Daphnia pulex: one gene and its partners. The protein of the gene in region 2 purifies or fractionates together with the protein of the main gene of each other region. This does not show direct contact. Links are inferred from orthologs where the notes say so. Each region holds a gene or a part of one and is shown on either strand. Other genes may lie near its edges. The genes, in order: syntaxin-17-like, synaptosomal-associated protein 29-like and alpha-soluble NSF attachment protein-like.

Region 1 (3,423 bases), on a different chromosome or scaffold from region 2:
TTCTGTCAAGTTTCGGGTTATTGATTTGCCATCCAATTTCTTTTGGAATCCTACTATACTTGGCTGGATCTCTTTTATTTATTTCGTGGTTCTGAGCAATAATAAGACGGGACGTTATTTGCAGATTTGCCATCCACTTACCCAGTTCTTCGAACTCCGCCGTTTTCTAGAAGGGCAGGGGAAGCGGGGCTTGATCCCCTTTGTTTCTCAAGAGCAGTGTGTTACAATACGAAACACAGGCTAGTTTGCACACGATCGGAATCTTCGGGTTGCGCCGAGTTCTACTTATGGTCGTACTTTATACATTTCACAATCTTCTTTGGCTTCGCCAACTTCTTTGACTTGACAAATATTCGAAAACATGGAATGTTTGACTTCTTCGATTTAGAATTCACTGCATCTTAGTCTCCCTGCGGGAATTAAGATTTCGATCCAGGAGAATCAGATTTTTACGCCTCTTCCAACAATCGAGAACGACCAACTTGTAACTACAGGAGTCCACCCACTAACAAGACGTAGGATATACTTAACTAACTAAGTCAACACGTTACAAGAGAATACTCATAAATACGACATTTTAAAACTTCGCAAACGTTATATTACAGTTTCAGTCCAGATAAATATAGTAATCCACTTATAGGTTTTTTAGATGTAGTCGATCACGGTCGCAGTCATCACGTTTGGAATCAATCGCCATCGTTTCTTTCTGATGTGAACCACTGGTGACGACGTATAGATTTTAAAAAAAAATAAAGAAATGTTACCATTTTTATTTTAATCAATCCCTATAAATATTTTAGAAAGTTACCTAAAGCTGATTGAGTGTGGAACTGTTTTTGATCCAGAAGTATTGCCTAAATTAACAGGAGATGACTGACTTTTGGTTAAATTTTCAGCTGGTTCATTAACGACCGATTCTTGCCATTTCTTTAAACCACGACCACTTGCAAAGCCCAATAAAGAACCTCCAAGTGCTGCAAGCCCACCTATTTTTAAGCCAGCAAGAAAGCCAACAGGGCCGCCAATACAAGTACCAATAAGAGCTCCTGTTACTGGATACATAGTTGCCTTAAACTTTGCAGCTTTGGCCAAATTCTGTTGTCCTTCTTTAACATTTTCTAGAGCATCATCAACATTGCTTTCAATGTTGCTGACTGTACTTCCTTGAGTCTACATTAAATGTTTTATCAATGTTATTGTTTTAAAAAAAATATATATATATCAAGGAGACTTACATGAACTTGTTGAGCAAATTCTGAAAATAGGTTGTGTAACTCCTCTATATCTTTTTGCAAATCTTCATATGTCTCAAGCTGAATTTTTCGTTGCTCTACTTCAATTTCTTCTGGTAAAATCTGTTCTTGACTTAGCATCAATTGTTGCTTTTGTTCACTTTCCGATACATGGGAATCAAAGTTTTCATTCGGGTTTTGTTTAAATTTTTTTACAGCATTTAAAGCTTGAATTCTGTAAGGTCTAATTTTATTTTCAAACTCCTTTTCATCTTCCGGTTTCAACTGACATCCAACTCCTTCTAATTCTCGTAGAGCAGCTTGCAATTGAGAAGCAACCTGTTGTAATTTTAGCTGTTCAGTTCGTACTTTGTCCCAATCTTTCTCCTTGATATGCTATGCAAATGAAACAGTTAAATTATAAAATAATAATAGAAATGTGCATTAATCATAAAGACCAACTTTATTTAGGTTGCTTTCATGTTGTTGTAGCTGTCCAAGAAACTGTGGCAACGCAACATTTGCGAAGCGATTCAGAGGTAATTCATATATTCTTACTCTGAAAGAACTGTTAACTTTTGACATTATTTCACTGACATAACCAATGCTGAAAACATAGATTTTTATTTTCACACTTGAAGGATTTCGTAAGCTTATTTCTTATTACGACTGAAAACGGCCTTTGTTTATGTTCTTTCTGTTCTTGTGTTGACACTGAAGCCATCTAGTAATAAATGAATCAACTTTTATATTTTTGACACAGAAGCCATCTAGTAATAAATGAATCAACCTTAAGCTATCTAGTAGTAGACGAATCACATCACATGATCTTTCTACTGCCATGGTTAGTGTGTACGGTTATAGTTACTGTCTTTCACGTTTCGATGCAGTTTTTAAAGTGAGCTTTTTAGCATTTCAAAATGTTTGTTAAGTAGCATAATGTGGTAAAGCAGATTAAGTGTGTATTGCGCTTAGTTGATTTAACAATTTGTATTTTTTATTTCCTCAACACTTATCAATTCTTTTGATATCTGATTTTTTGAAACAGTGAAATCCATGTCCATTAGGAAAAAATCCAGGAAAATAGCATGATCCAGGTTGTTCTTCAATTGCAACCAAAGATAATCAAGGACAAATGCAAAATATCCAACTGAAATTCTCTTCATATTCGTGGTGTAAGTTTTACTGTAAGTTGTGCTGTAAAGTTTATACTAATTCCTTTTACTTCTTCTTTTGATTCTGATCAGAATTTTGGAAAATATTTTGTCCAGAGAACGGTGCCTTAAAAGAAAGAACTTTGGTTGTGATAATGTGGCAGTATAATTTGCGTGAGTGTTAGGTTTTTTTATGTTTTTGTTTGTTATGATTGTTTCTTATTTTAGTATAAGTCTTGATTTAGCTAGAGCATGGATCTTTTTAATTTTGCTGTTTAAAACTTTAAATATCTCTTGTTTACAAGGCTAGACGATGGCTTAGATCGTTTTTCATCAGTCAGAAAAAACAATAGTTTCGCTGTTTCAGTTTCTTTTATTTTACGCAATTCTATCGACATATAAGACTATCGGCAGTTATTACGTTAGATAATTGTGATAACTGACCGTAAGCTACAAAGCTCACTTGGTAGTCTCATGTAATTTGCTTGTCTACTTTCGGATTTAAAAAGAGTCAGTACTTAATTTAGTACTTATTTGATGCCCAAAAGAACTAACAGTCGAATATCAGATATTCGGGCAAAATCGTAATTTTTCCTGAACTATAGGATATGGCATAAGAAAACAATAAGTGCATATTTGTGATTTGCTGATTTGATTCAATATTTTTGAAGTGCTCTCCATTGTTTTTTGTTGATTTGTTTCTCAACGCATCGTTATTAATAAAATCTTACTTTAATCTCTTTTCAGGTGAATCCGTCGTCGCCTTTCCAAAGACTGACCCATCGGATGGTGAAACTGACGAGAGGATGCTGTAATTCAAGACTGATCAATTGTGTAGTTTTTAGATAAATTACAAGTTCATATCTGGGCTCCCTTCTTTTCTGCGGCCCCGTTTCCCTAACTAACCACTAACCAACGCCCGCCGGTGGTCACTCACCCGCTGTGAAACCAGGAGGAGGGGAGGGCTCTGGTCGAACGGGGACTTGGAAGGCGCATGATCTATATCATGAGTCTAACCCGGAAGCCTAGTAGTGACT
Region 2 (3,226 bases):
CCCCATTATGGCGTTTCCTGCCACCACCACTGAAGCCTCTCTGCAATAATTATCAAAAAATGCCTTTCCACAAGGTTGTTATCTACCATCGAATCCGGAAACATTGGCTAGAAGAGAAGGACTGTGACTGTGATAAATGTGCGGCCAATTCCCCTTTTTCCACATTTCAAGGTGCTACGTTTGCGGTTTGTATGAACTGGAACTCCGACCAATGGTCTTCTGTTGTAAAACGGAAACAGAAAACAGTCGCCAAACGAAGACAATGGCAATTTAGTGTGCGGCTAAAATCAACAAATGAACCGTAATAACAGCTGGTGCAGACATCCGCAAAGACAAGCTGGCCCATCAGGACATTGTGTGGATATGTTCTTGTCAACTAAAACAAGTTTCTCAAAACGAAAAAAAAAATTGCCATTCATACCGTCCGGCTCGTTTCGTTCTCATGATCATCGAATCGTGAAACAGGCAATAACACGATCACCACGTCCGCTCATCTTTCCACAACATCTGCAAAATTCCTTGCGGATGATTAAACACTCTCAGGAAAAAATTTTCATATACTAATAAAATACCTAGTAAACTTATCCCCAATTGAATTCATGCAAATAATCATTTTTTTCTTTCTTTTTATCAGACCGTGTTTCACCTAAATGTATTATTCCATGAATATATAATATATATACACACTGGGAGTGTGCTGGCAATTTACCTTGGTGCGCAAAAAGAGGGGGACAGATTTTCTTATTTAAAACAAAAAGAGTTTTTTTTTCTTCATTCAATTCTAATTCTTTGTGTATCACAAGTTGGAAACAACATGGACTCGTGGGGTTTTCACTTTTTCAGAAGACGTTCCATATCTTTATTTTGACGCTGGATTCTCCAGTCAGCCTTGTCGGCACCAGTCTGCAACCGATCGATCAACGTGTTCTGATCTTCCAGTTCAGTCGACAATCCCTGGGCGAGACCTTTCAGACGGGACAGGGACAAACTCATGTCACCCAGATCTTGCTCTAGCTGCTCGTCGACATTGGAAAGAGGTTTGTGACTAAAATCATTTTCAAGTCCTTTAATCCTCAATGCTGGGTGCTGTTGCTGTGATGGTGAGTCTCGGTCAATCGGTGATGATGTTTGCTCAAGTACCTTGGAAAGATTGCTACTACTACTACTGGAACTAGGCTTTAACAAAGACCCTTCAGAAGAGTTTTTGAGTGGCTCTGAAGGCTTAGAAAAGTAGTTCTTCATACTGCTAAACACACTCTAAAAATCAATGAAATCTGTGTTAAGGAAAAAACAACCAACCAATGCTATAAAATATAGATAGACTACCTTGATATTCTGTATGTGTCTCTCTGAAGTCCTCAATGAATTATTCATTTCATCCAGTCGGCTCCCAGTTCTCTCTAACTGTTCCCTCTGCCTTACCAAGTCCTGGTTGGGTATTTTCAAGGGGAAAATGAATCAAGTTTTAAGTGGTTTTCTAATGTAAGCTTATGTGCAAACCTCAGCGGTGGAGATTCCAATCTGCTCAGTCTCATACAACATTCCTTTAGCTCGCCCTGAAGCCTGCAAAGTACGTTCTTCTATTTTCTGTTTCTCCATAAGAAGTTGTCGTCTACGTTCATCGGCGCTCTGATTTTCTCCTCCGTCCAGAGGTTGGAAACTGTTATTTCCGCCCGACAAACTATTGGCTAATTTTCCTCCAAAGTTATTGAACCTATTGGGTGCCCTTTGTAGAAATTCTTCGTCGTCCACGTCGTCTTCATCGTCAAAAAATGGATTTGAACCTTTAGACTTGACGTAACGCCCACTGGATCCAGCCATAGTTTTTTCGACACTAATACACTTTTCCTTGTATGTATTATTTGTTGCTCACTCACTTTCGCATGCCCTCCGAAGCTGTCAAGGCCTTTAAAGAGACTGCCGAGAGTCGTAACCAAGGTTTGATGTCTTCCCTCTAGCGACGACAAAAGTAATGATTTAATAAAATTGTAAGTAACATAAATCAAATCAATTAAAACATATTATTATTTTTAAGTTCATTTAAAAATTTCAAAAAATAATTCTCTATTATTATTCATTCATATGAATCAGTAATATTTAATAAAATTAGCTAATTTAAGGAATGTTGCGAGGCTTCACCAGGCTGAGGGAACAGCCCACCTCTTTCTCGTCATAGCAGCCCTTCTTACTTACTTCACTTGTTTTCCCGTGATCAAAATATCTACGTGTGAAGTCACGCAACTGTCCTTAGAACGTGTCAGTATCATGAGTGCCTTATTTCCTGATAAAATAATTGCGAAATATTTGAAATAATCAATGGCCACTCGTCACGAGCCATTATCACTTCAAGTGATAACATCTCCGTTCCTTCGCAACGTCGAAACAGCCCATGATGGCAGTGCAACAACTGTGGAAAGACGTACATTTCGAAAAAGTCTTGAAAGACTTGAACGAATCAATATGATTGATTTAGAACCCTTTAGTTCTGAATCAGTCTACCGTCAGCCTTCATGTGAACAGGGTCCTAGTGGAGATAGGAAGCTAGCAAAACGACAAAACAGGCTCAGCAGAGAGATCCTTGGAGTTGATGATGCAGTGTTATCAGCTCCTGACATTGCCCAGTTCCAATCTCAGGAAAGACAGCTTCTTACAAAGAACCAATCAATGAATGGTTCCCTTAATCAAACCGATGTTGATGATGATGTCAGCAGTGTTATTTATGGTGGATCAATAGCATCAACAGTCCCCGACAGATATGGTTTCTTTGGAGGATCTCAGTTCAGTCATGACACTGAAATGTAAGTTTTATTTGTTTCCCTTGAATCCCCTATTAGTTTAACACTATTGTATTTGCTTATTTTGAATTCAATTTAGAAACCCAGCAATGATTGCCATTTTTCGCAAAAGAGAGCTGAAGTGGTTAAACATGTTAGATGATTGGGAAAAGTATATGACATACAAATACAAAAAGGTTTGGCAATATCTTTTATTTTTCTTGTCTTTCATGTTTCTATTAACACCCAATTATTTGTAATCAACAGGTAAGAGACAGGTGTAGGAAAGGAATACCCAGTTCTATCCGTCCCAGAGCGTGGCAATATTTGTGCGGCGGTGGTGTTCTAATGGAAAAGAATAAAGGCGTGTTCGACGATCTACTCGCTCAGCCCGGAGATCCCAAATGGCTGGATGACATCCGAAAAGATTTACATCGACAATTCCCCATGCA
Region 3 (3,940 bases), on a different chromosome or scaffold from region 2:
ATCGTCTCCTCTTTCATCTGAAACTGCCAAATTGTTACTTTTCAATCGACTTAGCACAGTCATACGAGTATACTTCCTATACTGCATTCCTTTTCTACTAGTTTTTAAATATAGCACTACTATGTATAGCTATTGTGTACGATTTAGTACAACACGGAATTGGAATCAACACTTGACCGAAATACCAAAAACTTGTAAGTTGTTTTTTCGCAATATGTCCATTTCTGGTTCATTAATCCCACAAAACCCTAGTGAAGTTACCTTGACGCTTGCGCCATCTTTCAATAGGGTACGGCTTTGCGAACATTTGTCATTTTGGAAAGATAAAAAGATACTGCAATATGTTCGTAAAATCGAAAATCTGTAGCATTAATCAAGCTTTTATGAGCCTATATTTTGACAACACACAATAAAACTTTGAATTCTTAATTCTTTTAAAAATCTGTTACAGGACTGCAAGGATTTTAAATGTTAAAAGAACTATACTAATTTATAACTTTAGCCAAAAAAAAACCGCAAAGGTAAACTTCACCACGTTGGATTTCTCTGAACTACAAACATTGATACACACAAATACAAATTTGGTTGAGGCATACAATTTATCCGACAGCAAGAAAAAGGGAAGAAAAGTAACAGTACCGAAATTTTTTGCCTATTCATCTACGAATAATTAAACGAATTTGCCTTTTCTTTTAACACATTTTGCAGTTGAAAGATCAACCTCTATAAAGACAATATAAGGTGAAAAGAACAACTATATCGCGGAGTATATAGTAAATACCAAATTAGGAAAAAAAACCGAGTGAAGTCCAACGATGAACATATACTGTACACTGTAACGTAAGAGAACAATGGACAAGAACGAATTTGAAAAAAATAATAATGAACAGTGTAAGACAGAGAGCAAAAGAATTAATGTGGAATGAAAAATGTATAGAATAGTACACTTCGCGATCATGCTAAAAACGTATGGAACTAGACAATCGAAAGATATTACAACAGAATAATCGTGTATGGGGGAGCTTCTAATGTGTACATGCGCAAGATTAAAGGGTGTGCCATAAACCAGCAAAAAAAGCTACGATATCCTATAGGTTTCCGATCGTCGAGTGGTTTTGGATCTTCTGACTTAACACAAGTCAGGTGTTTCAGCCATCTGCTTCTTGATCCTCAAAAGCATTGTAGTGTACCATTGATCAAGCCGTGAAATGGAGTCATAATCCTTGACCGTTTCGGTGAATCCGTCTACATTGTGTTCTTCCATGTGACCAATGAGTGCCTTGATCAGCTTGCATTCTCGGGAATCCTATAAAAACAAATGAAGTTATTATTTAATTGAGGTCATCCAAACTGTTATTGAAAATCAACATTGTGTTGATCAGAAATAAATGGCATACCTGAAAAGCTGGATACATGTTCTCATATTGCTGGGCAGCATGTTGGGCATTCAACAAATCAATGCACAAGTGGCAAAGGGCAGCCCGGAAGAAGTACTCTTTAGCACTGTACTTCAACAGTGAATTATCCAGAGAAGCTGATGCAACTTGCTCATAAATCTGAATCGCCTTTTGATAGTTTTCCAACTGGGCTGCATACTGAGCCACTTTCAAAAGGCATTTGTTGGCAGAGCTATTACTTTCCTCACCTGTGAATACAATATTTTAATTAAAATGTTTAAAAAAATAAAAACTCTACTACCTTTGAAATAATCAGCTGCTTGTTCATAATGTTGCACAGCTCTTTCGAGATCAGCCAATTCTGTTTCGTAAATCTCTGCAATGGTTTGATGGTGTTTGGCAGCAATAGAAAACCTTCCCATATCAGTATATATTTCAATAGCTTTGAGGAGGCAAGCAACAGCCTCTATTGAATTTAGAAAAATATTAGTTGATATTAGATAAAAATAGAATATAACATGTAATGTTTACCATTGGGCTCAGATTTCTTATAACAGTTGCCTGCGTCAATGTAATTGGTGGCTGCATCATGACGTCCAGCAGCTTTAAGATGTAGAGCTGCTGCCTCACAAAAGGCTTGACCAGCTTGAGACCATTTTTTTGCCATTTTATACAAGTTTGCTGCTCGTTGGTAGCATTCTATAGCCTCATCAACTTTGGATGATCCTCTACACAAATAATTCAATAATCAGAATGGGAGGATAATGCAACATACTGGAATGAATTACCCTCCAAATAGAGAACCAAAAAAGCTCTTTCCCGAGTTCAATTTCTTTTCAGCCTCGGCGATTAGTTGGGCTGCTTTTTGCTCGTTGTCGGCCATTGTGGATTACTCTAAAGTAAGTAAAATTATTTGCGTGTACATAACAAATGTGAATGATAAGACGTTAAATAAACGTACATTTTGCAACAAATGAATACAGCTGCACTTCTCTTGTCAGACAATATTACGTATATCGATCATGACATTCTGCATAACAAAGGCCGGCGAACTAGTATTGTTTAGTCCTTTACTGGTCAGTACGTGCTGCCACCTGCTGACAACATAGTAAAGGCAACAACGCAACATAGGTAAAGTGGCGTCTCCTAATACAGTAAAAGCGGTAAAACTGTCAGAAGTCGGACCAATTAAAAAAAAAAAAAAAAATTAAATTCGATTCCTTACAAATGCCATCTTCACTTCATAACGCTATTGAACCACGCCATTTTCACCGATTGATGGAATTTTTGACAACCGGACTTTGGTATTAACAAGCGATCCACGAATCAAGTAGACCAAAATCCCGGAGCGGCTTTCCTGATCTAAATCCGGAAAAGGCATTAAAAATCTAAAAAAAATATAGCCATGTTCGTCTTCGCACGCCGGATTTACCTGCGTTTGCAGAATGACGATTTTCCCCCCCGTTTAGGAGTTATTTAGCTCTAAAGTTTGATTTTTTGAATTTTGTCAGAAAGTGGGGGGGCTTTGACATCCATTTTGGAAAAAGTGGGGGAGCTAGGGAAAAAACTAATTTTTTGAAAAGGTTTATTGCATACTCAACCACCGAAATCCAAAAGGAATTTCCTTTCCGGATTTTATTGGTTGAGATATTACCAATTTAGTGAAAAGATAATTTAGCTGGTTTCCCTCCCTGGCTTGCAGCCATTTTTTCGTACGGTCCGCTGCGCTCCTGGTGGAAGCCAGCAAAAGGTCTTATATATCGGCCTTCACATTAGACCCATTGCATTTATACAGGCCTTCATATATAGTGAACCCAGGTTTCTTATAGGCCGATGTATAAGACCTTCTGCTGGCTTCCACCAGGAGCGCAGCGGACCGTACGAAAAAATGGCTGCAAGCCAGGGAGGGAAACCAGCTAAATTATCTTTTCACTAAATTGGTAATATCTCAACCAATAAAATCCGGAAAGGAAATTCCTTTTGGATTTCGGTGGTTGAGTATGCAATAAACCTTTTCAAAAAATTAGTTTTTTCCCTAGCTCCCCCACTTTTTCCAAAATGGATGTCAAAGCCCCCCCACTTTCTGACAAAATTCAAAAAAATCAAACTTTAGAGCTAAATAACTCCTAAACGGGGGGGAAAATCGTCATTCTGCAAACGCAGGTAAATCCGGCGTGCGAAGACGAACATGGCTATATTTTTTTTAGATTTTTAATGCCTTTTCCGGATTTAGATCAGGAAAGCCGCTCCGGGATTTTGGTCTACTTGATTCGTGGATCGCTTGTTAAACAAATAAAGAAATTTTAGTTTTAGGCTTTTTTTCATGTGTAAATCAATGCCTAATCAAGAAAATTTCAAATGCAGGTTCATTTGGAGTAATTTAAAGTTCTTGTAATTTTATAGTGATAACGGACCATTTTGTTACGTCTGTTAATTTGATGAATAAAGTATCCCGATTTCGTTTATAAAAAGCAAGAAAAAGGCCAAAAGGTAGTCCGGCGTCGGCAGTGAGGTGGAATAAATTTTTAGAAATTTTCAATTAT

What was found.
Region 1: the proteins of synaptosomal-associated protein 29-like (region 2) and syntaxin-17-like purify together in Drosophila melanogaster (affinity purification with western blotting; 4 studies listed by BioGRID, with this or other methods). This does not show direct contact. The link is inferred for Daphnia pulex from reciprocal best matches to the Drosophila melanogaster genes Snap29 and Syx17.
Region 3: the proteins of synaptosomal-associated protein 29-like (region 2) and alpha-soluble NSF attachment protein-like purify together in Drosophila melanogaster (affinity purification with mass spectrometry; 3 studies listed by BioGRID, with this or other methods). This does not show direct contact. The link is inferred for Daphnia pulex from reciprocal best matches to the Drosophila melanogaster genes Snap29 and alphaSnap.

Annotation. Positions count from the first base shown.
Region 1 is NC_060017.1:5,925,438-5,928,860, forward strand, and holds syntaxin-17-like, read right to left. Parts: upstream 1,959-3,423; 5' UTR 1,818-1,958; coding exon 1,695-1,817; intron 1,629-1,694; coding exon 1,236-1,628; intron 1,171-1,235; coding exon 809-1,170; intron 741-808; exon of another isoform or gene 720-740; coding exon 635-719; 3' UTR 559-634; downstream 1-558.
Region 2 is NC_060025.1:1,294,181-1,297,406, reverse strand, and holds synaptosomal-associated protein 29-like, read right to left. Parts: upstream 1,941-3,226; 5' UTR 1,822-1,940; coding exon 1,501-1,821; exon of another isoform or gene 1,429-1,500; coding exon 1,327-1,428; exon of another isoform or gene 1,258-1,326; coding exon 832-1,257; 3' UTR 636-831; downstream 1-635. Other genes in the region: TBC1 domain family member 10A-like, read left to right, coding at 2,317-2,798, 2,875-2,971, 3,042-3,226.
Region 3 is NC_060021.1:555,387-559,326, reverse strand, and holds alpha-soluble NSF attachment protein-like, read right to left. Parts: upstream 2,496-3,940; 5' UTR 2,359-2,495; intron 2,292-2,358; 5' UTR 2,281-2,291; coding exon 2,186-2,280; intron 2,126-2,185; coding exon 1,929-2,125; intron 1,864-1,928; coding exon 1,699-1,863; intron 1,646-1,698; coding exon 1,398-1,645; intron 1,307-1,397; coding exon 1,130-1,306; 3' UTR 523-1,129; downstream 1-522. UniProt on the Drosophila melanogaster protein: Required for vesicular transport between the endoplasmic reticulum and the Golgi apparatus. Also between the endosome and phagosome.